Oryctolagus cuniculus: one gene and its partners. The protein of the gene in region 4 purifies or fractionates together with the protein of the main gene of each other region. This does not show direct contact. Links are inferred from orthologs where the notes say so. Each region holds a gene or a part of one and is shown on either strand. Other genes may lie near its edges. The genes, in order: ZNF428, CBX5, CBX1, POGZ and CHAMP1.

What was found.
Region 1: the proteins of POGZ (region 4) and ZNF428 purify together in Homo sapiens (affinity purification with mass spectrometry; 3 studies listed by BioGRID and IntAct, counting the BioPlex papers as one, with this or other methods). This does not show direct contact. The link is inferred for Oryctolagus cuniculus from reciprocal best matches to the Homo sapiens genes POGZ and ZNF428.
Region 2: the proteins of POGZ (region 4) and CBX5 purify together in Homo sapiens (affinity purification with mass spectrometry; 5 studies listed by BioGRID and IntAct, with this or other methods). This does not show direct contact. The link is inferred for Oryctolagus cuniculus from reciprocal best matches to the Homo sapiens genes POGZ and CBX5.
Region 3: the proteins of POGZ (region 4) and CBX1 purify together in Homo sapiens (affinity purification with mass spectrometry; 7 studies listed by BioGRID and IntAct, with this or other methods). This does not show direct contact. The link is inferred for Oryctolagus cuniculus from reciprocal best matches to the Homo sapiens genes POGZ and CBX1.
Region 5: the proteins of POGZ (region 4) and CHAMP1 purify together in Homo sapiens (affinity purification with mass spectrometry; 4 studies listed by BioGRID and IntAct, with this or other methods). This does not show direct contact. The link is inferred for Oryctolagus cuniculus from reciprocal best matches to the Homo sapiens genes POGZ and CHAMP1.

What each region holds. Positions count from the first base shown.
Region 1 is NC_091449.1:12,300,475-12,306,977, forward strand, and holds the start of ZNF428 (zinc finger protein 428), read left to right. Parts: upstream 1-1,743; 5' UTR 1,744-1,886; intron 1,887-4,853; 5' UTR 4,854-4,968; coding exon 4,969-5,044; intron 5,045-6,503.
Region 2 is NC_091442.1:57,212,965-57,219,317, forward strand, and holds the start of CBX5 (chromobox protein homolog 5), read right to left. Parts: upstream 3,914-6,353; coding exon 3,596-3,913; intron 1-3,595. Other genes in the region: HNRNPA1 (heterogeneous nuclear ribonucleoprotein A1), read left to right, coding at 4,392-4,406, 4,969-5,085, 5,309-5,455, 5,590-5,800, 5,891-5,983, 6,062-6,154. UniProt on the Homo sapiens protein: Component of heterochromatin that recognizes and binds histone H3 tails methylated at 'Lys-9' (H3K9me), leading to epigenetic repression. In contrast, it is excluded from chromatin when 'Tyr-41' of histone H3 is phosphorylated (H3Y41ph).
Region 3 is NC_091448.1:24,361,878-24,367,762, reverse strand, and holds part of CBX1 (chromobox protein homolog 1), read left to right. Parts: intron 1-1,255; coding exon 1,256-1,432; intron 1,433-1,746; coding exon 1,747-1,924; intron 1,925-2,508; coding exon 2,509-2,603; intron 2,604-5,885. UniProt on the Homo sapiens protein: Component of heterochromatin. Recognizes and binds histone H3 tails methylated at 'Lys-9', leading to epigenetic repression. Interaction with lamin B receptor (LBR) can contribute to the association of the heterochromatin with the inner nuclear membrane.
Region 4 is NC_091438.1:46,662,848-46,668,732, reverse strand, and holds part of POGZ (pogo transposable element with ZNF domain), read right to left. Parts: intron 5,268-5,885; coding exon 5,092-5,267; intron 4,199-5,091; coding exon 4,090-4,198; intron 2,924-4,089; coding exon 2,633-2,923; intron 2,557-2,632; coding exon 2,338-2,556; intron 1-2,337. UniProt on the Homo sapiens protein: Plays a role in mitotic cell cycle progression and is involved in kinetochore assembly and mitotic sister chromatid cohesion.
Region 5 is NC_091440.1:33,412-39,792, forward strand, and holds the start of CHAMP1 (chromosome alignment-maintaining phosphoprotein 1), read right to left. Parts: upstream 3,746-6,381; 5' UTR 3,590-3,745; intron 3,419-3,589; exon of another isoform or gene 2,143-3,418; intron 1-2,142. UniProt on the Homo sapiens protein: Required for proper alignment of chromosomes at metaphase and their accurate segregation during mitosis. Involved in the maintenance of spindle microtubules attachment to the kinetochore during sister chromatid biorientation.

The DNA of each region.
Region 1 (6,503 bases), on a different chromosome or scaffold from region 4:
GCTTTGGCCCCCTTTTTCTTGTTTAAAAAAAAAAAAAAAGAAAACCACACATTTTGTACGGGGCAGGGAGGGGATTGGGGAGGGGGTTTGGCAATCCCACTAACCACCATTAAACTGAGGAGAGAACCAGTGTCGGTGGCTGTGTCTGTCCCTGGGAGGGGAGTTCAAGTGGGGGAGGGGTGGGATGGTTTCTGTGCACTGACCTGGCCAGCGCACCTCACCCACCCGGGAAACGTGGGTTTTTCCTTGCCACTTCTTTAGCCAAACAGTCTCAAAGTCTCAATTCTTTAATAACTACTGAGCTACCTCAGCCCATCCCCCAGGGCCTGGCCCTCCCCTGGCCCCACCTCCACCCCCATCACCCTGTCACCCTCCCTGGCCCTGCCCTGCCCCACGCCCCTCCCGCCTCCCCATCCCCTCTGTATCAGGCCAGAGCTCTCTCGGCACCGGGTTGCTGCGCGTGTTACTGTATTCTAACTCCACCGTGAATCAGGCAAGGGTTAGCTGTCGCGAGAGCTAAGCACTGATCTGAAGTCTGGTCCCGCGCTGGGCACTAAGGACCAGAGTGAACCGCGAGGCTTTCCCGCGGGAAACAGACCTCAGCACAGACTGACCGAGCCAGAACGCCACAGAGGGGGACGCGCCGGTAGGACAGCCATGGGACAGAACACTTCGAACAGGAGCAGGTGGGACAGGGAAGCCCCGGGTACACTTCAAGCCAGCCTCAGCAGCCAGCACCCACCCGTGAGCACCCCGGACTCCTCGACAGCCTCACTCACGAGTGGAGGTGCTGTTACCCTCAGACTGAGGTCTGTGCCAAGACGTGGAGAGCCCCCGAGCAGCTAGCTGTGTGCAGATCAGAGGAACAGCGAGATCAAAGACTGTGTGCGGGAAGCGGAGCTGAGACAGTGGATACAGAGGGTGGGCGAGGGCGGGTCACGTGATGGCCTCCGAGCCCCTGATAAGGAGCTGGGGGTTTTAAGAAGTGTAAGGGGACCCCTAGAGACGTGACAGTCACTTCCTGCGGGGAGACAGCAGCGGCTCCCGCACCGGGCACAGAGCCCGAGCTCGCTGCAGGAGCCCTTCCCCTCCCCGGCTCTGTGTTCCAGGCACACCCGTCCCAAGTCTGACCTCCCGGGGGGGGGGGGGGGGGCTATTTAATCAGACGTGTGAACGCCCCAGGGCTGTGTCTCGTACGCCAAAGAAACCCAACTGGCCGCCTGCTGCAAAGATCACCAAAGGTGCACCCCGACTGAGGGGGCGTGGAGGCTGGAGTGGTCCTCCTCCGCGTCCTTGTGGCCTGTCTTCGGACCGATCCTCGACCAGAACCTGGCCTGCCCGCTTCGCGCCCCGCGGCGGACCTAGTGCGCACGCGCCTCGCTCACAGCCACCGCCCCTCCCCGCCATATGCTAATCACTGCGCTCGGGAGCCCCGCCTCCCCGGGGAATATGCAAATCACCTCCCCCGTGCGGGAGGCCGCCTATTGTCCCGCGGTGGGGTGCGGCGCGCGAGCGGGCCCGGTCCCGCACCCCAGCCGTGCGGGCGCCCTCCGCCCGCGGCGCGCCCCGTCCTGGTGAGACGCCTTCCCGCCACGCACACGCACACGCACGCGCGAGCCCCGCGGCTTCTGTGGCCTTCGGGCCGCGGACCGTACCAAGTCGCCCCGGCCGACGAGGGGCCACGCACCGCACCCCCCGGCGCGGGGCTCGGCTCGCGCGGCCCCCTCCTCCCACAGCGCGCCGGGAATGGTCCGTCTCGCCGCGCAAGCGCCCTAGGCGCCTCACGCCCCCCTGCGCTCGCTCCTGCCCTGCTTGCGGCGCAGGCGCGAGGCCCGGGCGTGCAGCCGCCACCCACCGCCGGGCCGGAGCGGGGGCCGCCGACGACCGTGAGTGTCCGGGGAAGGGGTGCGCGGGGCATGCCGGGAAGCGGGCGCTACGGCCCCGCTGCATGACGGGAGTGACACCTCCTGTCGCCCGAGGAGCGGGCAGCGGTCGGGGCGGCGCTGGCCTGGGGGCGAGACCCAGGTGCCCCTCTCTGGCCCCCGCGCGCCCTGGTCGCGCCCTGAGGCAGCGCGGGGAGACGGGGCACTCCGCCTCTCGGCAGCGTGCCGGTCGTTAGAGGCCCGGTGCTTCCCGGGAAGGGGGCCCCCCGGCTCTCCCATGGCGAACCGGACCCTTTGTCACACACCCACTGTCGAGCATTCTAGGAGCGGGGAAAGCAGCCTGCGGGGAGTCCGCGCAGGGCATTGGGGGACCGGCCCTTACTGTCCCGCCTCCTCGCCCTCGCGTGGCGGGACCGGTGCCTGTCGTGCACGCGGGGCGTCTTGGGAGTTGGTTCCTGTGGGCTCAGGGCGTTTGCGGTGCCCACTGCTGCGCTGCTTTTTATTTATTTTTTATTCGAAAGACAGGGCTTCCATCTGCTGGTTCACTCCCAAAATGGCGGCAACGGCCAGGCGGGAGCCAGGAGCCCGTTCTGGGCCTCGCACATGGCGCATTAGCGGGAAGCTGGGTCGGAGGAGGAGTGGCTGGGGCTTGAACCCCTGCCCGGCCACAACCCGAGGGTCTCGGCTCAGGCCCCGCTCGGATCTGAGGGCCCTCGTGTCGGAGGGGTGGGCATTTGCACCCAGGGCTGGCTCCGCGGGGGTCCCAGTGCTGTGGGCTTGGGAGGGGGCGGGGGCCGGACTGGTGGGCGTTGTCTCCGGGGAGCCTCCTTAGAAGTCCTGGTTGTTCTCGGTGTGCACTTCCTGGGTGGAGGTACAGGATGCCTCCTTAAGTTTGAATTTCCAGTAAGCAACATAAAATCTTTTGGGAAAGTGGGCAGCGGGTTAAGCTTCTGCCTGCGAAGCTGCATCCTATATTGGAGCTCAAGTCCCGGCTGCTCCTCTCCGGGTCCAGCTCCCTGCTAATGCGCCTGGGAAAGCAGCGGACGACGGCCCAAGCGCTCGGGCCCCTGCACCCGCGTGGGAGGCCCGGATGGAGCTCCCGGCTCCTGGCTTCTGCCTGGCTGTGTCCTGACCCTCACGGCCATTTGGGGAGTGAACCAAGAGATGGAAGATTCTCTATCTCTCTCTCCCTTAGAAGAAACTTTTAAAAAAATTACATCAAAAATATGAGTAATGATTTGTTGTTTAACTGAACTTTGTTCTAAGAGATATATTTTTTTAAGATTTATTTATTTGAAAGGCAGAGTTACAGAGAGGCAGAGAGGCAGAGAGAGAGAGAGAGAGAGAGAGAGAGAGAGGTCTTCCAACTGCTGGTTCACTCCCCAATTGGCCACAATGGCCCGGGCTGTGCCTGTCCGAAGCCAGGATCTTCTTCCAGGTCTCCCACACGGGTGCAGGGACCCAGGCACTTGGACCATCCTCTACTGCTTTCCCAGGTCATAGCAGAGAGCTGGATCGGAAGTGGAGCAGCCGGGAATGTGGGCAGAGGCTTTACCTGCTACACCACAGCACCAGCCTCTAAAATTCTTTTTTTATACACACACATATATACTGCCCCCCCTGCAAACAGGGATATTAATATCATAAAGTGAGATTCATGACAATGATCTTAGTGAGGTGAAATTCACATTTCATTGGGCATCCTGTTTTTATGTGCATAATTTGGTCCTCTTTCCTGCTTTTAGGTAGAGTTCCCGAGTTGGGTGGGCCCTGCAGGGTAGAGGGTGTCCTAAGAACACTCCCCGCCCAGATCAGCCGCCTCCTCCAGGAAGTCCCTCAGCCCTCCCCAGCATCCTTATCTTTTGAGTTTCTGGCAGTGAACTTGACCTCCAGACATTGAAAGGGGCCTCGGGTTTTCCATCACTGTTTGGCCAGTGCCCGGCACAGACCTTGGCCTGCAGGACACAGCCTAGGCGGCCAGCCCCTCCACTAACGGCCTGGGCGGCTCTCTGTCGTCAGGAAACGCAGGGAGAGAAGCTCCGTGTGTGTGTGTGTGTGTGTGTGTGTGTGTGTGTGTGTGTGTGTGTGTTGGGGGCGTGGTCTGCAGGTGAGGAGGGCAGTCAGGTTTGGCTTCCTGGAGGGGCACAGGCTCTCTAGGGCCAGGACAAAGGACAGAGGTTCTTAGGTTGGCGGTGAGCTGCGAGGGTGAGTTCCCTGGGGAAGGAGGTCTCTGCTGCTGGCGACCGCAGATGTGACAAGGCCTGGGGTGCACGGAGAGAGGTGCAGGATCCAAACTGGCCGAGTTTACGGGGGCGGAGGGAGGGGTCCCGGAATGCCTGCCCCCTCCCAGCCACCTCCCTGAATGAGCCCCCGACCCACCCAAGAGATCATTTTATGAGAGATGGGAGGACTGCCCGCTGGGTGGTGTGACCTCGGGCCACTTGCTCAGCCTCGGTGCGTGCCTCAGTTTCCCCCATGTGTACAGAGGGGGCAGTCTCTCAGCTTGATTCTGAGGAGCCCAGGAGTGAAGCCCTTAGCTTGACACCACACAGCCACCTTGGCAGTTAGGAGCAGGCGGAGGGTCACAAACCAGCGTCGCCTCATTTAAATATTGAGATCCTTCCTGCCGCCTTATTTAAATATTGAGATCCTTCCCGCCCGTCATCAAATGCACCCCACACCTGACTGCCGCTTCAGGGCCTCCCCCAGCCCCGGAGTTCCCCACAGTCCAGCGACGGAAGGGTTAATGCCTGCCACAGGCTCCTGCTCATCTCCGTTCTGATTGGTGCCGATGCCATTACCTGCCGATCAATATCTGGAATTTTGCCTTCCCCTCCCCCCATGGAATAAGAACAGAGGGGCGGGGCCGGGGCAAGGCTTTGCACGGAGCACCCAGCTGGGTGGGGGTGGGGTCGAGTGCTATGTGAAAATTTATTGAGCTGTCGCCGGCCTTTCCTTTCCCCTGCCCAGCGTCCCTCTACCTGCCAGCACCCCGTATTAGAAGACTCTGTGGCCGGAGAGCTGGCCGGGGAGGGACGCTGCCCAGCTGCTGCTCTTCTGCTGTTTCCCGTCCCCTCCCCTGGCCATGACAGAGACCCGTGAGCCAGCTGAGACCGGGGGCTACGCCAGCCTGGAAGAAGATGACGAAGACCTCTCCCCAGGTGAGGCGACCTTGGAGGTGGTGGCGTTGGTGTGCGCATCAGGGGTCGGGGCTTCGTCGGGAGAGCGCGGTGTGGCCTGGCTGGGAGACCCCTTCCAGCTGAAACCTCCAGGGGCTGTAGGTTGGCCGTGACCCCTCTCCACGGTGGGGGTTCTGGAGCGGCGAGGGCCTCTCCTCTTGCTGGGGGTCCTAGGTGGGGTGCCGCACATCCCCTTGCTGGAGGCTGCAGATGGGCTGTGCTCCTGCTTCTTCCTGGAGCTCCTGGATCGGCCGCGAGTGCTGTCCATGCTGGTGGTTCTGTATCGGCCGCGAGCCCTGTACATGCTGGCGGTTCTGGATCGGCCGTGAGCGCTGTCCACGCTGGCGGTTCTGGATCGGCCGCGAGCGCTGTCCACACTGGTGGTTCTGTATCGGCCGCGATCCCTGTCCACACTGGCGGTTCTGGATCGGCCGCGATCCCTGTCCACACTGGTGGTTCTGTATCGGCCGTGAGCGCTGTCCACGCTGGTGGTTCTGGATCGGCCGTGAGCGCTGTCCACACTGGTGGTTCTATATCGGCCGCGAGTGCTGTCCACGCTGGTGGTTCTGGATCGGCCGCGAGCCCTGTCCACACTGGCGGTTCTGGGTCGGCCGCGAGCTCTGTACGCGCTGGGGCTTCTGGATCGGCCGCTGCTGCTCTCCCTGCTGGGGGTTCTGGACGGGCTGCGGACTCTCCGCTTGCCGGGTCTCGGTTGCTTGTGGCCTCTCCTCTTACTGGAGGTTCGCGGCTGGCTGGGGTCCCTCTCCTCGCTGGGGGTTGTGGACCGCGCGTGGCTGGGAGCTCTCTGTCTGCTGCGGCTCCGGCGCTGGCCGCTCGGGGTCCTGGACCCGTTGTGACTTCCTTCCCTTCTGGGGGTTCTGGGTGGGTTTGGGCTCTCCCCCTTGCCGTAGGTGCTCGGTGCCCTCACCTGGCTGGGAGTTCCCCTCCGGGTCCGGCTTCTCGCTCTGCTGTGATTCCGCTTCCAGCCGTAGCCTCTCAGCCGGCTCTGGGGCCTGTCGCGGCTGACGCTCCTGGCCCTTCTGGGGGTGCGGGACCTGCTGCGGCTGGGGGTGCTGGAGCGGCTGGGACTTGGCGCCGTGCTCGAGGTGCTGGCCTGGATGTAACCCTTGTCGGTCCAGCTGTAGCTGCCTTCCCAGCGGGAGGCGTCCGCCTGGCTGTGGCTCTGCGCCTTCCGCGGGGATGGCGGGGACTGGCTGAGGCCCTGCTGCCGCGAGGGCGCCTGGGTCAGGCTGCGGCTCTTGGTCCTGCTGGGGGTCACGGCCAGGCGGGAGCCGCTGCGCACCGCCGAGGCCCTGGGCGGGCTGTGCGGCTTCTCCTTGCTCACGTTGCCGGCTTGGCTCTGGCTCCTCTTCCTGTTGGTGGCTCGAGGCCGGCTGTCACTCTTCCCCCCACCCTGTTTCTGCTGGGAAGCCGGAGTTCT
Region 2 (6,353 bases), on a different chromosome or scaffold from region 4:
CAAAAATAAAGGCTAGAAATGCTTTATCGGGGAGCGTTCTTAAATGGGCGATTCCTTGAAGGAACTTAGGCCGTGTGGCCACATAAAACACCTCAACCAGTGCAAAACAGACTCACTAGTGTTCCTCAGAAGCCTCTGTGCGCTGGACATGAAGATTTTCTCTTTTCCAGAGTATTACCAAGGGCCCTGAGAGTCTGCCAGACACAGGAAATTGCAATCACTTCCCACGTCCACTCTTTCCCCAACTAGCACCCTGCTCACCTACGGTTTAGATTGCAGCTTTCTCCTGTTAGCTTTCAGGCAGCAAAGACGTGTTACTTTCCCCGTTGTGAACAACGCGTTTGTAAGTTTAGTCACACCGTTGTATGTTTGTACCCAAGTGCCCTCACACTAACGGTATCGCAACATTTTGTATTTAACTGCCAGGTCTAAGTTTAACAACCAAACCAGATTCTCCGAAAGCAAAATGAGGGAAGGTTTTCCACGTGATAGTCTCAGAATTTCAATGCAAAAAGCACCCTAGGCCGGCGCTGCGGCTCACTTGGCTAATCCTCCGCCTGTGGCGCCGCGGCACCCAGGGTTCTAGTCCTGGTTGGGGTGCCAGATTCTGTCCCGGATGCTCCTCTTCCAGTCCAGCTCTCTGCTGTGGCCTGGGCAGCAGTGGAGGACGGCTCAGGTCCTTGGGCCCTGCAGCCGCGTGGGAGACCAGGAGGAAGCACCTGGCTCCTGGCCTCGGATGGGCGCAGCCGGCCATAGCGGCCATTTGGGGGCAACAGAAGGAAGACCTTTCTCTCTGTCTCTGTCTCTCTCTCACTGTCTAACTCTGCCTGTCAAAAAAAAAAAAAAAAAAAAAAACCACTAAACTTACACCAACAGTAAGAAGGGTTTACTGCACCTATTACCACTGAACAGACCCTCACAATAAAATGCAAAATTTTCACTTGCAGTCGACTAGGAAGTCTTAGTTCAGTTCCTAAAATCTTTCAAAGGGAAAAACATCAGTAAAACACCAAATAAAGGGTCATCAATTGATCTGCTTGTGAACACAAGTGGCTGGTGCTGGAAGAATCCACTCAGAGCAACCTCAGGTGGCCTGACTTGGTTTCCTATTCAGAGCAGTCGTTCCCCGCCCACCCCATGCCCAAAACCATGGGTCTGTAAGCCACTGTGACAGCAGTTCAGTATAAACTGACCTGCCTCGAGAAAATGAAATAGGACATGGAATGTGGGAAAATACCAGAGTGTTTGCACCTTTGCTGTGTGAAACTTGTTTCCATGTACGTACAAAGTCAGTATAAAATATATTTCTTCCTGAGGGTCATAGCTAAAGCAGAGTGACAGTCACTCAAAGCCAGGAAAGAGATTTAAAGTTAGGTGAAATCCTTAACAGGCATCTGAGACAAAATTTACCTTCTTAAAAAAAACACCTTTGCCATTATTTAGGGAGCCAAATTCAAGCAGTCAATCATATAATTAGATTGCAAGAAATATTAAGAATGTTAATGAAGTATCACTTTTATCAGAAGGAACAATGATCCTATTATGTGTCTGAAAGAGATAAGTGATAGGATTTAGTAATCCACTCAGCAAAGGCCCCTCCCTAAATACATCCCACTTTTATTGAATTGGTAAAACAGAGGACTTTGAAAGGATAATTAACTCTAACATCAGCCATTTTAGGTCTGTTTCAAACTGAGATTCCGATGCTTACCCCTCTCAGACCTTTGGCAACGCCTGGCGGCTGTGAGGACAGCGGGGGGGGGGGGGGGGGTGCTGCTGGCTTCTAATAGGTAGAGCCAGGGAGCCCAAGACAGCCCCCACTCCCTGCCCAACAGAGAAGTATCTGGCTCAAAGTGCCCATAGTGTTGAGGATGAGAAACCTTGTTATAGATTAAGACTGTATTCCTTTTAAACCTAAATAAATCCAGGATACCCTCAACCGCTCTCACTTTAGTTATCAGAAGCTCAGCAACTGCACTATCAGCATATCCACAAATAGGTTTATGATCAGGTATGAAACACAGATTTGCCGTTTTTGCAAGTACGGGAGAACACGGAAATCTCTGCTCGGTTCATCACAAGCTCCATTAAAATCATTTGTATTTGCACAAGTGCGGAGAGGTCTCCAATCACAAGTGTACTTCATATGTGGTTGACTTTTATTAGAGTATTTAAAGATTGCTCCCTTGGCTTTAAGTCAGTGAACAATAAAGCAGTAAGACCCTAACACACCCAATATATAATGCAAACTTTTTTTTCAAAAGATCCCTGAATAAGCAGAGAAAGCATTATCAACAGAAGACAGACTACATGCAGAACACCCTCGTAAGGAAATCTAATCAAAAGGCAATGAATACTCCAGGTGATGGATGGGTCTTTTGTCTCCAACACCCTAACGTATCGCCTCCTACAGCGGCTTCCGTGGGACATCCTCAAAGGAACAGCACAAAGAGGGACACGGGAGATCTTTAATGGTGTAAAGAAAGATATGTACAGGAGGGAAAGTCAGAGAAAAAGACCAAGACAAAAGCACGGAGCAGCTAGCTGAGAAGAGAGACAAGGGCGATGAGAAGTATGATAAACAGAAACGCACACACAAAACTGACTTCATTTTTTATTTTATTTTAATCACAAATCGTCACCCCTGTAAAGATTAAACACGGGTCTATTGGAAACCCAGCCTGCCTCGGCCCCGGCGTCGGCAGAAGCAACACACTCCGGACAGGGGCAGGATTCTGAAACTTTTCTGCGGGCCTACGAACACCTTTGTGTCCGCAGAAACAGGCATCCTGAGGTCGCCTTGCCGTACAGTACACAGTGATTTCTCTCATTCGCTAACACTCAGTCCGTCTTCCTAAAACAAGTTCTCTAAATCGAAAGCCCTGCTCGGGTTTCCCCCAAACTCAATGTGGTGGATGCTGGGATGCCCCGACGTGGAGAGCGATGCCAAGCTGCAGCACCCAGGACCAAATTTACGCTTCCGCTACCAAAGAGGTGCACCGGGCGGGGGGCTTCGCAGAAGTCGTAGGGGGGAAAAACCCACCCCCGCACGCCATCACGACCATTGAATCTCCTTCCTCCCCACCCTTTCCCACCAAATCGAAGACCTCCCCGTCCTGGAGAGCCTATTGGACGACCTGTCCGAGAGGCTTCCTTGGGCCGCCCGCCTACTGGCTCCAGATTTGGTCCATCCACTTGAGGGCCCAACTCCCGCCTTCCCCGCTGGAGTCAAACCCACGGCCCCTCGGAGAAGCCCAACCTACCGCGCGCTTCGCGCTCATTGGCTCGGCGGGACGCTGCTCAGGAAGGGAAAACCCGCCTCCCACATTCCGATGGCCCAAAGGCCGATCAGTCGGCAGCTCGAGGTAGACCCAATTGGCCTAGACACGCGCCAGTCAAACGCCTCGGCGGCACAGCTCCACACAACCTACAGGGATGGAATATCCCGCCCCCTGTTCTTCTATTGGTTGGCCCAACCCACCGCTGCCCCTTGACTATCCCCCCACCCCACGGTCCATTCATTTCACACAATAACGGGCCCAACTGGAGCCGGTCCAAGGCCTTGTACAGGTAGACAAGACTCTCTGCCACTTACCCGGGATCGAGAGTGATCACACACCCTAACGTCTGCCCCGTTCCTCTGTGCTGAGGCCGCACCACAAGCCACCGCTGCTGCTGCCTTCTGCGCAACGCCAACCGCCCGCCAAAACGGATCCTTCCCTGCGCCTGCGCAACCAATCCTGGGCCCGGACCCTTTCTCCGCCCACAACGCCTGCGCAAAGCAGCGCGCAACTCCCGCCACTACGCAGGCGCCGTAGGTTAACCGCCTTCTCCCGCCCGCCATTTCACGTGTTTCAAGCGGCGAGCGGAACTCTATAATGCGCATGCGCAAGATCGCCATTTTACTACACATGCGCTCAACAGGCGGTTGTTGAAAAAAACCGTCACATCTAACTACTTTTCTGCTGCTTGGTGTTAATAATGCTTTACCAAACAAATAGGATATATAATTTGGACTAGTAGAATGAAAAAAAAACGTTTAGACAGGCGAAGTACGTTCAAAAATGAATGATTGTTCAGTTAGCCAATCAGGCTGGCTAAGAATAAGATTGCTCGAGGACCAATGGGGTCCGAGGGGTGGAGACTGCGCAGAACGCCCTAACGGTGACGTACGCAGCAGTGCGGCGCCATACACCAATAGTAGAGGGAAGCGATTTCAAATGTCCAATCAGAGCGAGGCAGGGGTGGAGTCTGCCAATGTCGAAAGCGAGGAGGCGGGATAAAAAAGCGAGGCCGAAGGTAGGCTGGCGGATACGTTCGTTGGCTTACTCCTTTCTGCTTGCGGACGCCGCCGAGGAAGCATCGTCGAGTTCTCTCTTCCCACCGCCGTCATGTCGAAGTCAGAGGTGAGGAGCTCCCCTTTTCTAACGTAGTTCTCCCCCTCGTCTCCCTCTTCGAGTCCAGTAGGGGCGGTTTCTTTGCCCGCAGCAACCTTTTCGGCAGTTTGCTCGGTCGCGGCCAAGGCCTACCCCTCCCAAAGTTCAAGTCGCCATTTTGTCCTCGTCGTCGCCATGAGGTTGCGGGCCGCTAGCCCCTCGATAATCACTCCGGGGTCGGCGTCGGGGCAAAATCGTTAGCCATATGGCGATTTAGGTTCAATTTTGTCCCGGCGAGCGGGTTTTAAAAAAGCCTTGATGCCCCTCACGGCGATGTCCCCCTCCCGCGCGGACCTTTTGTTGCGCGCGTGCGTCTGGAGGGAGCGGAGCGGCGCATGCGCTGGAGGCTCCCCAGCCCCCAACGGGCCGCCTCCCCTGATGAGGGGGAGCACGTGGCCCGCTTTGGACCGGAGCGAACAAAAAGTGCCGCCTTTGTGGGGGCCGAGTTGTGTTCCCCACCCCCCGCGTGGAAACGGGGTCGTGTGGTAGCCCGAATTTACAAGAGAAAAACCAATTTTGCTCTCCCGCCCAGTCGCCCAAGGAGCCCGAGCAGCTGCGGAAGCTCTTCATCGGAGGGCTGAGCTTTGAGACGACCGATGAGAGCCTGAGGAGCCATTTTGAGCAATGGGGCACGCTCACGGACTGCGTGGTAAGACTGGGGAGGGCCGGGAGGCGGGGCGTCGGCGGCTGTTCCTGCAGATTCTGTGCGAGGGCTTAAGATCCTAACGGGGCCTGAGTTCTGAGTTAGGAATGGCTCGTTTGTGGCTCTTCGGCCTGCTTTTTGGAAGTTGCGGGAGCGGGGAACAGGAGGACCGCCCTATAACCTCCTACGGGCCCGGGCCTTGTAATAAGCAAATTAACGCTGTCTCCAGGTAATGAGAGACCCGAACACCAAGCGCTCCAGGGGCTTTGGGTTTGTCACCTACGCCACCGTGGAGGAGGTGGATGCGGCCATGAACGCAAGGCCACACAAAGTGGATGGAAGAGTTGTGGAACCAAAGAGGGCTGTGTCGAGAGAAGTAAGTGGGCCCCCAAACCCCCATCGGTTGTGGTAATAGGCTTGCCATTGGGGAGCCATCTGGACCCTTTCAAGTACTTGATAAAGGACACAGATTTTGCCATTTAGAGTAACTCGTGGTTCTCGGCTCGGTAGGATTCCCAAAGACCAGGTGCCCACCTCACTGTGAAAAAGATCTTCGTGGGTGGCATTAAAGAAGACACTGAAGAGCATCACCTCCGAGATTACTTTGAGCAGTACGGGAAAATCGAGGTGATTGAGATCATGACTGATCGAGGCAGTGGCAAGAAGAGGGGCTTTGCTTTTGTGACCTTCGACGACCATGACTCCGTGGATAAGATTGTCAGTGAGTATCAGATCCCAGGCACTTTGCGGGCTTTCTGCAACGCACGTGGCATTCCACTCTAACCCCGGGCTGTTTGTCATCAAATTTCAGTTCAGAAATACCACACTGTGAACGGCCACAACTGTGAAGTGAGGAAGGCCCTGTCGAAGCAGGAGATGGCCAGCGCTTCGTCCACCCCGAGAGGTATGTCTATTGCTTAGTCGGACGTTAAGGTAACTTTGAGTTTTTCCAATCTGTATGGTTTAACACTTATCTCTCAAGGTCGAAGTGGTTCTGGAAACTTTGGTGGTGGTCGTGGAGGTGGTTTTGGTGGCAATGACAACTTTGGTCGTGGAGGAAACTTCAGTGGTCGTGGTATGTATGGTTAGCTAAGGTTAACTCTAGAGAGCTTGTGGTTTCTTGACCCTAGATGACTTGTCCCTTTTTTTTCTGTAACCTGTAGTAGCATATAACAAATGGCCTACGTTTCCGAAGTTAAGTTTTATCTAAAATGCAGCTCTGGCCTGTAACTAACCAGAAGTTACTCCGGTGTGCCAATCGTTGTCACAGTGCA
Region 3 (5,885 bases), on a different chromosome or scaffold from region 4:
AGTACTCCAAAGAATTTCATGGTCATTCTATCATTTTGTGAGTCTTCTTTTGTCTTATCTGAACTGTAAAAATAAACTGAGTAGAATAAGAAGTTCATAAGAAACTTGTAAGGTGTAAATTTATAGTGGCATTCAGGAAAGACTGCATAATGAATAAGAGAACTTTTCAGAAGAGAGTATTGTAGTAATACAGAAGAATAGGGCATATATGCATATGCAAATGGAAAAATTAAGATGCTTAATAGAGCAAACTATTTGCCCACAGTAAAAAGTCAAGTCCATTATAGTGGCAAAATGGAAGACATACAGGGCAGATATTATGATATAGTGGATTAAGCCATGGCTTGGGGTGCCTACTGCCTCTATCAGAGTGCTGATTTGAGTCCTAGCTCCACTGCTTCTGGTCATCCTGGGAGGCAGCAGATGATGGTTCAAGTGCTTGGGGCCCTGTCAAAAGGAGTTTCAGGCCCCTGACTTCAGCATGGCCCAGCCCTGACTATTGTAGGCATTTAGGGAGTGAATCAGCAAATGGAAAATCCCTCTCTCTCTTTCCACCTCTCCACACCCACCTACTCCCCCATCCCCCCATCACTGCATTCAAGTAGATGGAAATTTAAAAAAAAAAAAAACTCCTTTAACAAAAGGAAAATAGAGAATAGGAAACAGTATGGATCAGAGAATTATCTGTATATAAGTTTGATGTGGACATATTATTTTAGAAGGATTCCTATTTCAGTCTAATTTAGTATTTTAGGGACCATAGCATATAAAGTATTTTTTTTATAAAGTTTCTATATGTATTTTGAAAGAGCTACAGAAAGAGATTTTCCATCCACTGGTTCATACCCCAGATGGCCACAATGGCTGGGGCTGGTCCAAGCTGAAGCCAGGAGCCAGGAGCTCCTTCCAAGTCTTCCGCATGGATGGCAGGTGCCCAGGCGCTTGGGCCATCCTTCACTGCTTTTCCCAGCGATTAGCAAGGAGCTGGATTGGAAGTGGAGCAGCCTAACTTGCACCCATATGGGATGCTGGCCCATGTATATAAAAGTTTTTAAATGAATATGCAAGAATAAAAAAGTTTTATCAGTGCTAACTCTGTAGCTGAACATTTCAGAAAAGGTTTTTATATGTTGAAAATAGGCATAACATTATAAGTAGCATGCAGTATTAAAGTCCCCTCTGATCTCCATGATTTTCCAAACATTCAGATATTTATCTAACCCTAATGCCCATTTTATTTCTTTTACCATTTTAGCAGCGTCACCCTTTACACCAGAAAGCTGGCGGGCACCATGGGGAAAAAACAAAACAAGAAGAAAGTGGAGGAGGTGCTAGAAGAGGAGGAAGAGGAATATGTGGTGGAAAAAGTTCTTGACCGTCGAGTTGTAAAGGGCAAAGTGGAGTACCTCCTAAAGTGGAAAGGTTTCTCAGAGTAAGTTTCATTGACACAGGTGAATTTAGTCATCAAGTGTTTATTGGGAATCTAATGATACACAGCTGTGATAGATGCAGTAAAAAAATGAATCATGGCTTTCATGGTTTATGGTCTGACAAGAGTATGACCTACATGTATAGTGCGAAAAAGCAAGATAGGGATTTCTTTGCAAAGAAAATTGATTTTGTCCTGGGCAAAAAGTAGCTGTTCATTAATATTAATTCCTCTTGTCCTCCCTGTATTTATATCCTTTGTATAAGTATACTTACTTTGAAGGAACGTGACTTGCTGTACCTTGTGGTTGGTTTCAGTGAAGACAATACGTGGGAACCAGAAGAGAATCTGGATTGCCCTGACCTCATTGCTGAGTTTCTGCAGTCACAGAAAACAGCACATGAGACAGATAAGTCAGAGGGAGGCAAGCGCAAAGCTGATTCTGATTCTGAAGATAAGGGAGAAGAGAGCAAACCAAAGAAGAAGAAAGAAGAGGTAAGGCTTGAAATAAGGATTTTTCCTAGTCCAGAATTGATAGTACTGTCAAAGAAGCTTCTGAAGACCAAATAATTAAGTTTTGTTATGTCTCCTCAGATCTTAGCAAGCATTTCCTCTCAATCTCCTGTGAAACCCTATGATCTACCCTCATTATCCAGGCTTTAGGAATAACAAGTATAATACTTTTTGAGGACAGATATAAGGGCAAATGAAACGATTCCTGTAAATAGATAGCTTTAATCATTTGATTAAGCATATGATTTGTGGTAACAATTTTGATTTATCCAACACCTTAAGGTCAGTTGTCTTTTGAGGGTGAAGAGAAGTCCTGGAGAGACAGTCGTGGTAAACATTTAGTCTGCTGTTTGGAGTCTATTCCTTTTCATATATGGGAAACCTCAAGCATTCATACCTTGATGAATCACTCCAAAGGATTCCAAAAGGCCTGTTACTAGGAGCCAAAGTATCGATGATCTGTTAGCAAAAGGGTATGCAATTGCACTAAGCAGACATGGGAGTGACTCCAGTCTGGATGACAGTTCCACATAGATCAAACTGCTCTACCTATCTGGTTTTTACAGTCAGAAAAGCCACGAGGCTTTGCCCGGGGTTTGGAGCCGGAACGGATCATTGGAGCTACAGACTCAAGTGGAGAACTCATGTTCCTGATGAAATGGTGAGTCTGCAAGAAATCCCCATCTGTTCCATGCCAGAAGAAACGAGCTGGACCTTCGAAATTCCAGTTGCCCAAGTGTGAAATCTTTAAGATGACATAGTCCTTCGATAGTGACCCTCGGCCTGACTGCCACAATGAACTCATGAGTTACAGGTAGGGGCTCTTAGGATTCTTGATCTTTGCCTGGTTTTTTGAGGAGGTGGGAAAAAAATCCAAATTGTAGAGGGTGAGGGAAGAAATCACATTTCACTTTGTACATGATGAAAGAAAATATGAAATGTGACTGGACCACCCTCCCCTTTACCACCTCCTTAAAGATCTGGCTGGCTGCAGGATCACAGACTCTTCCCAGCGTTAGCAAAGAATTTTTGTAGCTCTTCCTTTGTCCTTGATCAATCCTTTCTAGTTTGTGTAAATTGTGCAATTCCAGGATAAGCCAGCAGGGGTCAGCAGGACCCCTTTCCTGTTCATGAGCATAGTGCAAGGCTGCCTTTTCCATTCATTCTAAGTGTAAATATGGTTTTAGTAATGCCCCATCAAACTACTTAATGAAGACATTTATCTTGAAAATCTTACAGTTTTTAAAGAGATTTATTTATGTATTAGAGGCAGAGAGCAAGAAGTCTTCCAACCACTGGTTCACTCCCCAAATGGCTTCAATGGCTAGAGCTGGGCTGATCCAAACCCAGGTGCCAGGAGCTTCTTCCGGGTCTCCCATGCAGGTGCAGGGGCCCAAGGATTTGGGGCATCATCTACTGCTTTCCTAGGCCATGGCAGAGAGCTGGATCAGAAATTGAGCAGCCAGGACTCGAACCAATGCCCATATGGGATGTCACACTGAAGGTGGTGGCTTTACCCACTACACCACAGTGCCATCCTCAAAATGTGTCGCTTATGGGAGATTTGATACCAGGAATTATTTAGCTAGAATGCATGTTCTCTGCATGTGATCATGTGAATTAAAGTAGTTTATATTACTTAAGACTACATTCCTTTGGTTGACTCACTACTACGTCTACAAATTAAGATTGAATGTTGGGGGGCCAGCGCTGTGTCATAGCAGGTAAAGCTGCCCGGCTGCTTCACTTCCGATCCAGCTTTTTGCTATGGCCTGGGAAAGCAGTAGAAGATGGCCCAGTCCTTGGGACCTCACACCCTCATGGAAGACCCAGAATAAGCTTCTGCCTCCTGGATCCTGGTTTCAGAAGGGCCCCGCTCCTGCCATTGCAGCCATTTGGGGATTGAACCAGAATATGGAAGACTGCTCTCTCCCTCTCTTCCTTCCTTCCTTCCTTCTTGCTTTCTTTTTACAGATTTATTTATTTATTTGAAAGAGCTACAGAGAGAAAGAAAGGCTCAGAGAGAGAGGTCTTCCAACTGCTGGTTCACTCCCCAGATGGCTGCAATGGCTGGAGCTGTACCATTCCAAAGCCAGGAGCTTCTTCCAGGTCTCCCATTCGGGTACAGAGGCCCAAGGATTTGGGCCATATTCCACTGCTATCCCAGGCCATAGCAGAGAGCCGGGTCAGAAGTGGAGCCTCCCTCTCTCTGCCTCCCCTCTCTAACTCTGCTTTTCCAAAAAAAAAAAAAAAAAAAAAAAAAAAGATTGAATAATGGAGTATAAAACTTTTTTAATGATTTCTTTTGGAGAGCGGAGGTATTGGCCCATTTCCAAAAACTGCCAGCATTCTGGTCAATGAGATGGAGTGAACTTAACTCAGGGTGTTGTACATTTGTCAACAAATGATAGCATGCTTCAGGTCCCCCATATCTGTTTTCTTTTTTTAAGATTTCGTTATTTATTTGAAAGTCAGAGTTACACAGAGAGAGGAGAGGCAGAGAGAGAGAGAAGTCTTCCATTCGATGGTTTACTCCCCAATTAGCCGCAACGGTCGGAGCTGTGCCAATCTAAAGCCAGGAGCCAGGAGCTTCTTCAGGTCTCCCAGGCAGGTACAGGCGCCCAAGGACTTGGGCCATCTTCCACTGCTTTCCCAGGCCATAGCAGAGAGCTGGATTGGAAGTGGAGCAGCCAGGTCTTGAACTGGTGCCCATATGGGATGCCAGTGCTGCAGGCTGGGGCTTTAACTTGCTGTACCACAGCACCAGCCGCCCCCCCCCCCCTCCAGTACCTGTTAATAGTAGTACATTTCCCTCCTGTTCTCTTGGGTCCATTGCTCAAAACTACTTTAAGAGCTTACTCTTTTCTGGTTTTTGGGGCTGTGTGGCTCCAATTCCCTGGAGGTTTTGGGGATACCTTATCTGCTGCCTGCTCTATACTGCTGCTTTTACCTAGGGCATTCTCAGTGACCTGAAGATAAGCATGTACTCATGATTCCATTATAATGAGTGAAATTTTCATACTTTAGAAACATTTTAGGAGCCAACATACTGGCACAGAAGTTTAACTCCCAGCTGCTCTGCTTCTGATCCAGCTTTCTCCTAATGTGCTGGGAAAGGCAGCAGAAGATTGCCCAAGTACTGGGGCTCCTGCCACCCACGTGGGAGATGAGGACAGAGTTCCTGACTTCCAACTTCAGCCTGGCCCAGACCTGGCTGTTGTGGAGGAGAGAACCAGAGATGGAAGATTGATCTCTCTCTCTCTCTCTCTCTCTGTTTCTCTCTGTGTCAGGCTTTCAAAGAAACATGTCTTTTTTTTTTTTTTTTTTTTTTTTTTTTAATGAAAACATTTTAAAATCCAGAAAAACATAAAGAATTATATAACAGCTCCTATTTTCTGCTTCCCATTACAAAATACTTGGATGTTGTATGAGATGGGCATTTGGTAGTATCAGTAGTAAAGATCTCTCCATGGGCTCTTATCAGCTGGGATATGGCTTTTGGAAAAGTGAGGTAGCCCTCCTTTTCCCTAAGAGAATCTGGACAGTCATGCTTTTTAAGATTTATTTATTTATTTGAAAGTCAGAGTACACAGTGGGGGGGGGGGTCTTCCATCTGCTGGTTCACTCCCCAGTTGGCTGCAATGGCTGGAGCTGCGCTGATCTGAAGCCAGGAGCTTCTTCGGGTCTACCACGTGGGTGCAGGGGTCCAAGGACTTGGGCCATCTTCTACTGCTTTTTCAGGCCACAGCAGAGAGCTGGATTGGAAGTGGGGCAGCCAGGACTCAAACTGGCGCCCATATGGGATGCTAGCACTTCAGGCCACGGCATTAACCCACTGCACCACAGTGCTGGCCCTAGTCATGCTTTCTTTAGCCCTTCGCAGAGGTTCAGATAGAATAGATCACCAGATAGCCTAGCTTCTGACAAAGGTATCCAGAAGGGT
Region 4 (5,885 bases):
CCTGCTCTTTTGCCTATTTTTAAAAAAGATTTATTTAATTAATTAATTAATTAATTAATTTTATTTGAAAGGCAGAGTTACAGAGAGGCAGAGGGAGACAGCCAGGAGCCAGGAGCTTCTTCCTGGTCTTCCACACAGGTGCAGGGACCTAAGGACTTGGACCATCTTCTACTGCTTTCCTAGGCAATAGCAGAGAGCTGGAGCGGAAGTGGAGCAGCAAGGTTTTGAATCAGCACCTATATGGGATGCTGGCATGGCAGGCGGTGGCTTTACCTGCTAGGCCACAGCGCTAGCCTCTTGCCCATTTTTTAATTGCCAGTTTACTTGAGTTGTAGGAGTACTGCATTTTTCTAGATATTAACCACTTACATATATATAATTAGCAAATATTTTCTCCCATTCTGTGGGTTGTCTTTTCAATGTGTTGGTAACAGTACTTTGCTGCACAAAAGTCTTAAATTTTGATGTAATACATTTATCTTTTTTTTTCCCTTTTCTTGCCTGTTTTTAGAGTCATCTCCAAGAAAGATAAACATTGTCAAATTCAGTACCACGATGATTTTCTCACTTATTTTCTCCTAAGAGTTTTACAGTTTTTCTTGAATTTTTAAATCTTGATCCAATCCAATTTGAGTTAATTTTTGTATTTGGTATAAGGTATGGGCCTAATTTCATTATCTGAAAAATTAATATCCAGTTTTCCCAGCACTGTTGGTTAAAGGTTTCCATGTTTTTAAATAGCTGAAATAAAAGCAAAAGAATAACATTTTCTGGGGCCGTTGCTGTGGCTCACTTGGTTGATCCTCCGCCAGCGGCACCGGCATCCCATATGTGTGCCGGGTTCTGGTCCCGGTTGCTCCTCTTCCAGTCCAGCTCTCTGCTGTGGCCCGGAAGGGCAGTGGAGGATGGCCCAAGTGCTTGGGCTCCTGCACCCGCATGAGAGACCAGGAGAAAGCGCCTGGCTCCTGGCTTTGGGTCAGCGTAGCTCCGGCCGTAGAATGGAAGGAAGACCTTTCTCTCTGTCTCTCTCACTGTCTAACTCTATCTGTCAAAATAAATAAATAAATAAATAAATAAATAAAAGAATAAAATTTTCTGACACAGAAAATTACATGAAACTGAAATTTCAGAGACCCTGAGTATTCTCAGTGGAGCACACAGCCATATTCACTAATTTATGGGTCATCTGTGGCTGCTTCTATACTACATGGCACAGATGAACAGCTGCAACAGAGCTCAGATGATGCACAAAGTCTAAAATATGCTGGGCCCTAGACAAAAAGTTTGTCAACTGCTGCTCTAGACCACTGAAAACCCTCACTATGCTCTTACCCTCCTACTGAAACCCTCTATCCACAGGGCCAGGGCTGTGGTATAGAAGGTTAACCTTCCACCCGCAGTGCCAGGATACAATACAGGCACTGGTTCAAGTTCCAGCTGCTTCACTTTTTTTTTTTTTTGACAGGCAGAGTGGACAGTGAGAGAGAGAGAGAGAGAGAGAGAGAGAAAGGTCTTCCTTTGCCGTTGGTTCACCCTCCAATGGCCGCCGCGGCCAGTGCGCTGCGGCTGGCGCACCGCGCTGATCCGGTGGCAGGAGCCAGGAGCCAGGTGCTTTTCCTGGTCTCCCCATGGGGTGCAGGGCCCAAGCACCTGGGCCATCCTCCACTGCACTCCCTGGCCACAGCAGAGAGCTGGCCTGGAAGAGGGGCAACTGGGACAGAATCCGGCGCCCCAACCGGGACTAGAACCTGGTGTGCCGGCGCCGCTAGGCGGAGGATTAGCCTAGTGAGCTGCGGCGCCGGCCGCTGCTTCACTTCTGATCCAGCTCCCTGCTTATGTGCCTGGTGAGCAGTGGAAGATGGTCCAAGTGTCTGGGCCCCTGCCCCATGTGGGAGACCTGGAAGAAGCTCCCGGCTCCTGGCTTCGGATCAGCCCAGTTTCGGCCGTTGCGGCCATTTGGGGAGTGAACCAGCAGACGCAAGAGCTCTCTCTCTGTAACTGTCTTTTAAATAAATGAATACATCTTAAAACAAACAAAAACCTCTATCCAAATCCCAACTTTAAAGTCTTGTTCAGAAAACTATTTCTTCCATGAAGCCACCTTTGATTATTCCAACCATCTCTGATCAGTCAATCCATTTCACCAATCCATACACAGAATTCCTTGGAGCTGTTTTGGTTACACTTTTCACAACTGGCTGTACTCTTCACTACATTAGTATCTGTGAAAACAGACTGCAGCAACTATGTTCTTTTTTATTTCCCTCAGAGTATAAAATAAATACTTTATTAAAATTTTTCAATGACTGCTGCTCAGAGGTTCTCAGCCTACTGTACCTTTCATTGAAGACTCAGGTCCGCTGGTTCTTTGAGAGCTGTGGGCAGAGCTGTTGTTGGATACTACTGCTGGCCCAGGGCTCTGGCCCAGGGAAGGGATGGTGTTAAGGGTATTCACCAATTTGGCCACTTCATTGCTATTTTCACCTGTCACCCCAGGTCGCTTCACAGTGACAAAGCTGGCAATGCTCACTGCAGGTGGAGAGGGGAAGGAGGGAGCTACATTGACCAGGTGATCATCTGCTCTCCACCCGCCACCTCACCCCAGCTCTGCCACTGTCTTCCCAAGCCTTACCTAGTTTGGGATTTGAGGTCTGGTTGGACTGGCCTGGAGGCTGAACAGCTAGTTGTCCCAGTGAGGTCGGCTGTGTGGCAGTGGGAGTGGTGGAAGTGCTGGGTGTAGACTTGGTCTGCTGGGCCTGGGACTGTGGGACGGTGCTCCTAATGGTCAGAGTGGCTGGGATGACGGTGGTGAAAGTGTTGGTGGTGGGCCTCACTGGCATTGCGGAGCCTGGTCTCACTGGGGTCATCTGAGAGAACACCTGGGGAACTCCAACTGTCGGCTTAACAAACTGGGTGCCTGGGGCTTCAAAAGAGAGACAAAGAAGAGACAAATACTGATCAGTAAGCTCACCTACAACAAATGCTCCCTGCCTTGACTGGAAATACTAAGACAGGGAAAGATTATTTCCCCAAACTGACAACTGTCAGGTTACTAGGAGTAGCACAGATTCTAAAGTCTAAAAATACAGGTGTCCACATTGGTGAAATACATTCCCCTAACAGAAATTAGGTAACCTAAAACCATTAAATCGAGTAAGATTCCCATCAAGTCCCCCCTACCCAAACACCTTACCACACTGCCTTAAACACAATCAGTAGCTTCAGAGCAGTACTGCAGAACAAAGGGTGGGAGACAGTATGGGTGCATATAAGCCAAAGGGCAGACTTGATCCTGAAAAAAGGGATGCTTCTTTCTCAGAACACTGAAAAAGTCCTCTCTCATACATACACTCACAGAAGACAGACTGTGCCATTCCAGTAGACTGTCCCAAAGGAGAACATCTCTGGAGACAATTCCACTGAGAAATATTTAAGAAATATCAGAACATGATAGGCTAAGCTGCTTAGACTGAAGGCCAAAAAAACAACCCTGCAGGTTCTGAGAAAACACTCAAATATTTCACAAGATAAGCTACAGATATACCTTTACAAGCAACTAATTTTTTTTTGGCCTAAATTACAGTAAACTTACACACAAGAAATGTGTGGAGGAATTTGTAAGATTTTTAAAAATCCAATCTTTAGATTCCTAAAATTCTATCTAGTCACTGGTAGTATTATTCAAAGGGTATATATTCCATTTATTAATATCTAAAATTTGTGTATAAAATTAAAGCAAAATAAAGTTTATAATCCCACCAGGTGAGCAGATGTCTGAGGAGTACAGAATTTGGTAGTTTGTATTGATAATTTTCCTTCAGGATAGACGTAATAGCTGACTGAAACAGCAGTTACTGAAGATGACTAGATAACCCATTTTAGTGCCTCATGAAGGGTGGTGAAAAGCTAAACAGAAAAATAAATAAAGCCACCACCCTGGCCAAAGGTTAGAAACTTTTTTTAATTTTGGCTTAAATCATTAAGATTGTTATTTTTTTCAGTACATTTTTAAGTGACCTAGAATATTTCCAACAATAAAAGCAAATCTGGATGCCAGTTTATTCCAAGTGGAGAGACATTTTTCCTTACCTGGGACTAGTGTAATTGGTCTAACCGTTTGGCCTTGCTGTACGTTCAGCACAATCCCAACCTGATTCATTGCATTTTGTACAGGCCGGACATTCCTTACAGGAAATCCCTGTATTAAAAAGCAAAATGATCTTTAATATGGAGTCCACTAACACTAGCAAAGACTGCAGTATGACCTGTATCCAAAAAAATTTTCACACTTTTAACCTAACGGTTCTCTCTAGAGTTAAGAGCTTCTAAATGATTGAGATGTAGAAATTTAGGAGATTTGGCAAATTTTTGAGTGACAAAATACCAAAACTGGAGCTTTGGCACGTAAGAGCAAAAAATGTAAACCTATTTCCTGATTTAAGAGAGCTGCAGCTGAAAAAAACGTAACCACAAAATGGCCTCCAAACTGTTAAAAAGCATAAAAGGAAAAATACTAAGAGTATTCATCAGTATGAGTCAACATAAGCAATCCTAAGAAACTGTTACCAAAGTCAGCCTCAAGCCCATAAATCTCTGGCAAGTTTATGAAAAGGGTAAACTCAGGAAGCCCCAGGAAAAATACTCACCTTTAGATTCCATACTCAGAATCAGGATTTTAACCTCAAATCACCACATTATATATCACATAAATCATCCTCCTCCTCTTCCAGAGATCTCCATCATATTCCCAATTTCATAGACAGACCTCCAAAAGTCAATTAACTCACCCCACGGGAAGAAAAGCAACCCCAAGGCAAAGGGTGAATCGTTTTAGAGCCACGTGTGAAGGCTTCCTAATCCAAGTTTTCCCATTAATTTCTGTCCAGACCTTCATTCAATCATTTAAAAGACCTCTAAGGGGATATGGAGGAGCCAATAACACAGCCACGAAGCTATGCTAGGCTTTCTACAAAGATCAGTATCCGATTACCACACAGCCAATGAGAAAGCTGGTCAAAGGACAAGTCTCAGGAACCCGAAGCAAGGCAGTCTTTCCCTGCTCTACCAATCCCAGAACTCAGTTTTACTCACCTGTGTAGTGATGAATATTGGTTGCGAAGCCACGGGGGAACTAGTCACATGATTGGCATTCTGCATGACCTGAACTGGCCTCAACACTGGCTGAGTAACCATTGTGCCCAGGCCTGGGGCTGGATTCTGGGTCAGAATGAGCGGCTGTCCACCTTGCTGGACCAAAGGATTGCCAGCTGAAGAGTAAAAGGGAGAAGCAGGGGAGAAAGCAATGTTACAAACAATGCGAAGCCCACATTTTATAAACATTCTGGTCTTAGAAAGGCAATAGTGTCCCACATATCAAATAGTCAAGACAGTCACTCACCTCTGCTTTAATGTCACCAAACTCACCAGAAATTTAAGCTTCACCCAAATATACAACTGACAGAAAAAGAGGTGGGTAGGGAAGAGTCACTAATATCCCACCTGTATGTCTTAAGTAGGGCCGAAAGACATCTTTAGATTTCTACGTGGCTATTACCTTGATTAAGAAAATTTAAGTGGCCACACGGTCTTCACACCAAATCGGTGGAATAAAAGAATATGTAAGTCTTTTTCATATTTTAGCTAAGTAAAACTATTTGGTCAAAATCTAACTTGTTGTTAGCTAATCTCTCTTAATCTTCCTGAAAAAGCAATGTTCACCAGCAAAACATTAACTAAGCAAGTATACAGAATCTAAAGAAAGACATCTCTTCCTAGCGAGTCAAGTCTGAGAAAGGTGGGAGTCTCTAAACAGCCACTGTCCTTTAGAGGGGTGTGAATGCAGACAATTAACAGGCTTCTCTCTCTCTCTCTGTCTCATGTCATCA
Region 5 (6,381 bases), on a different chromosome or scaffold from region 4:
CTCCCAACCTTCCTTGGCCTCCCAGCTGCATGCATACCTCCAACATAGCAGTCACCCTCTAGCACTGTAGCCTAACTCCAAATCAGGTCACGGGTTCTCAAAGAACAAGGGCTACACAACTGTTTGTTCACCTCTGTAACTGTGCACATCCTGGCACACACTGTGTGCTCAGAAAATATCTGTCTGATCTTAACCTTGTCTCATGAAGACTGGGGACACAATCTTAACATTAATTCCGTTTTAAAATTAGAGACAATCTGAACTATCATCTAGTCTCAAAATCATAGAATTTGAAGGCAGGAAAAGATCTTCAATTGGAGCCAGCATTGTGGCTTAGTGGGTTAAGCTACTGCCTGCAACACTAGCATCCCATATGGTCGCCAGTTCAAGTCCCAGCTGCTCCACTTCCAGTCCAGCTCCTGCTAATGATCCTAGGAAAGCAACAGAGGATGGCCCAAGTGCCTGGGCTCATGCCACTCATGTAGGAGAGCAGGATAAAGCTCCTGGCTTCAGCCTGGCCCATATCCAGCTGTTGAGGCAATCTGGGGAGTGAACCAGCAGATGGAAGATCTATTTCCTCTCTCTCTAACTCAGCCTTTCAAAATAAATAAGCATATTTTTTTTTTGAAGAAAATTTTAGTTTACCATTGAGGAAGCTCAAACTTGATGTTGCTTGCCCAAGATCAGGCAAATGATCAGTATGTGGCAAATAAAAGAATAAAGTTCTACTATCGATTCAGGTCCTTTCAGTATATCAAGATCAAGCTAATATAGTAGAATTTAGTAAGATCTTGAAAAGCCAGTACAATAGGTCAAAACTCACAAAATTAAGTTCATCAAACATTTAGAATCCACTTATCAAAAGAAAGCAACACAGGTGGGTGTTTGGTCTAGCAGTTAAGATTCCACTTATGGGGCTGGCGTTGTGGTGCAGCAGGTTAAGCTGGCATCACATATCTGAGCACCAGTTGAGTCCCATCTGCTCTACTTCCAATCCAGCTCCACCTGGGAAAGCAGGGGGAAACGCCCCAGTATTTGGGTGCCTCCCACCCATGTTGGCGACCTGGATAGAGTTCCAAGCTCCTGGCTTCACCCTGGCCCAGCCCTAGCCAATGCAGCTAATTGGGGAATGAAACAGCAAAAAGATCTCTTTCTGTTTCTCCATCTCTCTGCCACTCTGCCTCCCAAATAAATAAAATGAAATTTAAAAAAAAAAAAAAAAAGTTCCATTTGAGATGCCCACATTCCATGTCAAGACTGCCTGGGTTCAAGTCCCAGCTCTGCCTCTGATTCCAGCTTCCTGCTGATGCAGCAGCAATAGCTCAAGTTGTTGGGTCTCTGTCACCCCTATGAGAGACCCAGATTCTGTGGTGCGCATTTGGGGAATGAACTAATGAATGGAAAATCTTTCTATTGCACTACCTTCATTTTTTTATTTAGATGATGTGGTTTAATTTTAGTATCTTGAGTTTTCCTGGATCTTTCATTATTGTGATTTGTTAATTTCTGGTTTTTTTTTTTTAAGTTTTTATCAGGTTCAATGTAATTCACAGATACAGTTTGGAGATTAAAATGATATGTCCTTTCTCCCACCCTACCTTTCAAATAAATGAAAATACATTTTTTTAAAAAAGCAGCAGCAAGCAACAATGATGGCAGCAGTCTTTAAAAACATGTCTGTGAATACAAACATTTCACTTCAAAGGGGGAAGAATTATGAATGTTGTCTAAGGTCTCCTTAGAAGCAACAAGCAGAAGCCAGTAAGAAAACAAATTACTCCATCCTGAACTAGACAAGCTTCTTGGTCCAGTGGTAACACTCCGTGACTAGAAGCTACTGATCTTCACAGGACTTGAGACCAACCTCTTCATTTTACCACTGAGAAAGCTGATTCTGAGACAAGCGACCTGTCAGAGATAAGGATTAGGTCAGAGGAAGCAAAGGAACACCCTGGATTCCTGGTTCTAGATCTCCGCTGTAACAGCAAGGCTGCCTTTCCCTCAGCACAGGACACACAGCGAAGTCACAGAATTGAGTCCCTCCAGCTGGAAGATTCTAGTCAATGTATTTTCTAATTTCAGACAAAAAGTCTAAATTGTCCAGGGTAATGAAATTTTCTCTTCTGTCTCTACAGGCTGTACCTTGTTGAAACAATGCTCTGCCAGCCCATCACTCAGAATTCTTCAACGCACTGCTGGTCCAGGTGCTGTCACATCAATTCCCATTTCCCATCCAATTTCTTCCTTGAAATCTAACACCACTGGTCATTTTTTAAGTATATTTTCATGTAGATTTTTAAATAAAAAAGTCAACATGTCATGCACATTTGAAGGGTTCTATTCGTCTAAACACACACCAGCACTATTCTGCACCCCGCTTTGACTTTTAAACACTATTTTTCAAGTAATTTTGTTTAAAAGAACCTGAACAGAAAGAAGAGAAACCCCCAATACATCCTCCCAATCCCCTGCCCAGCCTTCCTTAACATCCTGCAGTTGGGATGGCTAACACTGGTCTGTTATTAACTCGGGTTAACAGCTTAGAGGAGCCAGTCTTCATGTTGCAATTTCATGGGTTTTGGCAGACATACAGTCACACATGTACCATGACAGTCACAGTAATTTCACCAACATGAAAATTCCCTGTGTTCCTAACAATTACCAGTCTTTTCAATATCTCTGTAGTTCTACCTTTTTAAAGTGCGGGAAACCTGAACCAAAAACTTATCATTTTTTAAAGCACAACTTCATCCGTTAAGTATAAGCAACCATCACCAAGATCCATTTCCAGAACTCTTTAATCATCGCAATCAATCCTGTTCCCTGCTTCCCACAGCCTGGTCTCCTGAGTGGAAGAAATCGTCCGTGTTTGTCCCTTTGTGTCTTATTTCACTTAACATGTTTAAAGGTTCATCCATCCCACAGCCAAGTATCAGCGGCTCACTGCTTCTGGGGATGATACGTAACCACCTCAGCTTGCTCTGCTGGTACCCGGGGTCGGCATCCGAGCGGCGGCCTCCCACCCTGCGGGTCGGCCCGGGGCTCCACCGGCAACGGGCCCAGTTCCGACTTCACTTCCTCAACCACACTCCAGTGCCTTTTGTGTTCAGCCACCCTAACAGGTGTGAGGTGCGCCCTCGCGGGGGGTTAGCTGCAGCTTCCCAACGGCTAACCCGCCCTCCGGGTGTCGTCTCCGGGCAAATACCCATCCGGACGCGGCGCTGCCCAGTGCAGTCCTGTGTCCCGGGTACAGACCCTACACCCGAGTTAGGATTTGCAAACGTCCGCTCCCGGGCTGTGGCCTGCCTAGCGGGCTTGCGGGCACAACGAGCGGCAGGAGCCCCGCACGCGCGAGAAGACAGCCACCTCGGGGGCCGAAACCGAGCCCGTCTCCGCTTTACACAAAACGCCCCAGGCCCGCCCGCCCCCTGCACAATGGCGACCCACGCCCGCCTCCGGGGAGGGGTCCTTCCCGCTGCCCGGGACGCCAGCGGCCGGCGGACCTTGCCTTCGGACCGGCCGGCCCCGCGCTCGGAGTCCGCGGCGCGGACCCCGCCCCCGCCCGCCCGCGCCCGCCCCCGCCCCTCACCGGTCCCGGCCGCGGCGGCGTCCAGGTGGGCGAGGCCGGCGGGGAGGCCCGGCTCGGGCGCCAGCGACTCCGCGGGGCCTGCGGGCGCGGCCTCCGAATGGCGACGGGACGCAGGGGCCGGCGCCGGGGGCGCGGGCGTGCGCGCGCTCGGCCGGGAGGCGAGTGGGGCGCCGCGCAGGCCAATTGGATCGCCGATCGCCAAGCGCGGCCGTGCGCACTGCGCGAGCGCGAGCAGCGGCGCGGCGCGGCTCCCGGAAGTGCCGCGCGCAGCGCCCGCCCCGGAAGTGCCGCCGCGCCCGGCGCGCGGGAGCTGGCCGAGTGGGCGGGGGCTCGGAGCGGGCCGTGCCTCGGTGCTGCTTCGCGTTCTCTCGCGTTTCTCGTGCTGTCGTGTGAGTGGAGTTAGGGAAGAAAGGCAGGCCCAGCGCCCGCGATGACGTCCGGGACAGCTGTCGGAGACGAACATTCTCCTCAGGCTCCCGGACCTCCGTCCCGCGAGCGGGGAGGGTGCGTGCACCTGGTTCCGAGCTCACTCTAGGTTGACTGACCAGATGTCTTCCATTCGTTTCCTTTAGAAGTTATTATGCTTGTTTATTTGACAGAGGGCTCGCAGGGCTGGTTCGCTCCCGCAAATGCCCACAACGCTCGGGACCTAGGCCCAGAAACTGGGCGCCCTGATCTCGGTGGGTCCCCCACGTGGAACCAGCCAGCCCCGTGGGACTGCAGCCCTGGCACCCTGATAGGGTGTCAACCTCTGCACCAGATGTCTACCCTGAGATGCTGTTTACTGTGGCAAAATACGCATAAAATCTATCATCTTAACAATTTTAGGTGTATAGTCCAATGGCATTAAGTGCATTCGCAGTGAGCAACAATCACCATCCGACCCTTTCGTCTTGTAACGGTGGAACCCCATACCCACCGCACAGTACCTCCCTTCCTCCCGCCTTGCCCCTTAAGATGGCTGTTCTACTTTCCATCTCTGAATCTGACTATTCCTATCAATGAAATGTTACCTTTTTATCGCTAACTTTAGCATGATGTCTGCAGGTTTACCTGTGTTGTAGCATACTGCAGAGATTCTGTTTTTAAGGCTTTTAATAAACATTCCATAGTATGGGTATACCATCTTTTGCTTATCCATTCATCTGTCATTTGATTTGCTTCCACATTTTAGCCATTGTGAATGCTTTTATGAACGTGAGTGTACAAATATGTCTTTGAGATTCTTTCAATTCTTTTAGATATTTACACAGGAGTGGGGTTACTGGATCCATGGTAACTCTTTTTAATTGTTTTGAGGCACTACAGTGCTGCTTCCATAGCAGCTGCACAAGAGTTCCAATTGCACAACATCCTCACCTGCACTGGGTAGTTTCTGGTTTTCGGTTGTGGTTCTATGGTAGTCAATCTAACGGAGTTCAAGTGATAGCTAATTGCTGTACATTGCATTTTTCTAATGATTACTGATGTTGGCATCTTCGTGTGATCTCTTGTCATTTATATATCTGGAGAAATAGTTATCCAAGTCCTTTGCCCATTTTTAAATTGGGTTGTTTGGGTTTTTGTTGTTGAGTTAGAGGAATTTTCTGTGTATTCTGGATATTAGCCCCTTATCATATGTATGATTTGCAAATGTTTTCTCCCATTCTGTGGGTTGACTTTTTGCCATGATAGTGTTTTTTGAGCTATGAATTTACATGAAGTACATTTATGTTTTTTCTTCAATTGCCTGTGCCTTTGTTGTCATATCCAAGAACTAACTGCCAACACCAGTATCATAAAGCTTTTAACCTGTGGTTTTCCTCAAAGACTTATCATTTCAGATGTTGTCTTTGATCCACATTGAGTTAATCTGTGTATATGGCATTAGGTGAGAGTCCCACTTCATTCTTTGCATCTGGAGATCCAGTTTTCCACGGATCATTTACTGAAAAAACTGTTCCTTCCCCATTAATGGTCTTGGCACTATTGCCAAAAGACCACATATATGAGGGTTTGTTTCTGGACTCTCTTTTGTTCCATTAGTATCGATGTCTGTCTTTATACCAGGACTACCTGTTTTGATCTCTATCTTGGAGCAAGTTTTGAAATCAGAATGTTATCCTCCAGCTTCATTCTCTTTATCAGGATTGTTTTAGCCATTTGAGTTCCCAAGATTCCATAAGGATCCTAGGATTGCTTTCTATTTCCAGACCCACACACAAATTGTCTCCCAGTCCATGAACCTAAGATGTGTTTCTATTTTTTTTTAAATTTCTTCAGCAACATATTCTAGTTCTCAGTGTTTAAGCCTGTCACCTTCATTAAATTACATCCTATTTTGCTCTTTTTGATGGTAGTATAAGTAGAACTGTTTCTATAAATTCCTTTTCAGATCATTTGTGGCATATAGAAATGCAATTGTGGGGGCAGGCATTTGGCACAGCAGTTAAATTGCGACTTGCAACACCCACATTCTCTATCAGGGCTTGGTTCCAGTCTCAGCCCTTCATCTTACAGTCCAGCTTCCTGCTAACACACATTCTGGGAGGCAGCAAATGATGGCTCAAGTACTTGAGTCTGCCACCTATATGGGAGACCTATGTTGACTTCCAGTTTCCTGACCTTGCCAGTCTTGTTCTGGGTATTTGGGTAGTGACCCAGTAGATGGAAGCATGCGTGTTCTCTCTTTGTCTCTCTCTCTTCATTTCAAATCTTGTTCTCTATTTCAAAATAAATGAAAAATATTTTAAGGAGAAATGCAACTGATTTCATGTGACCTTGTCTTGCTACCTTGTTAAATTCATTCTTTA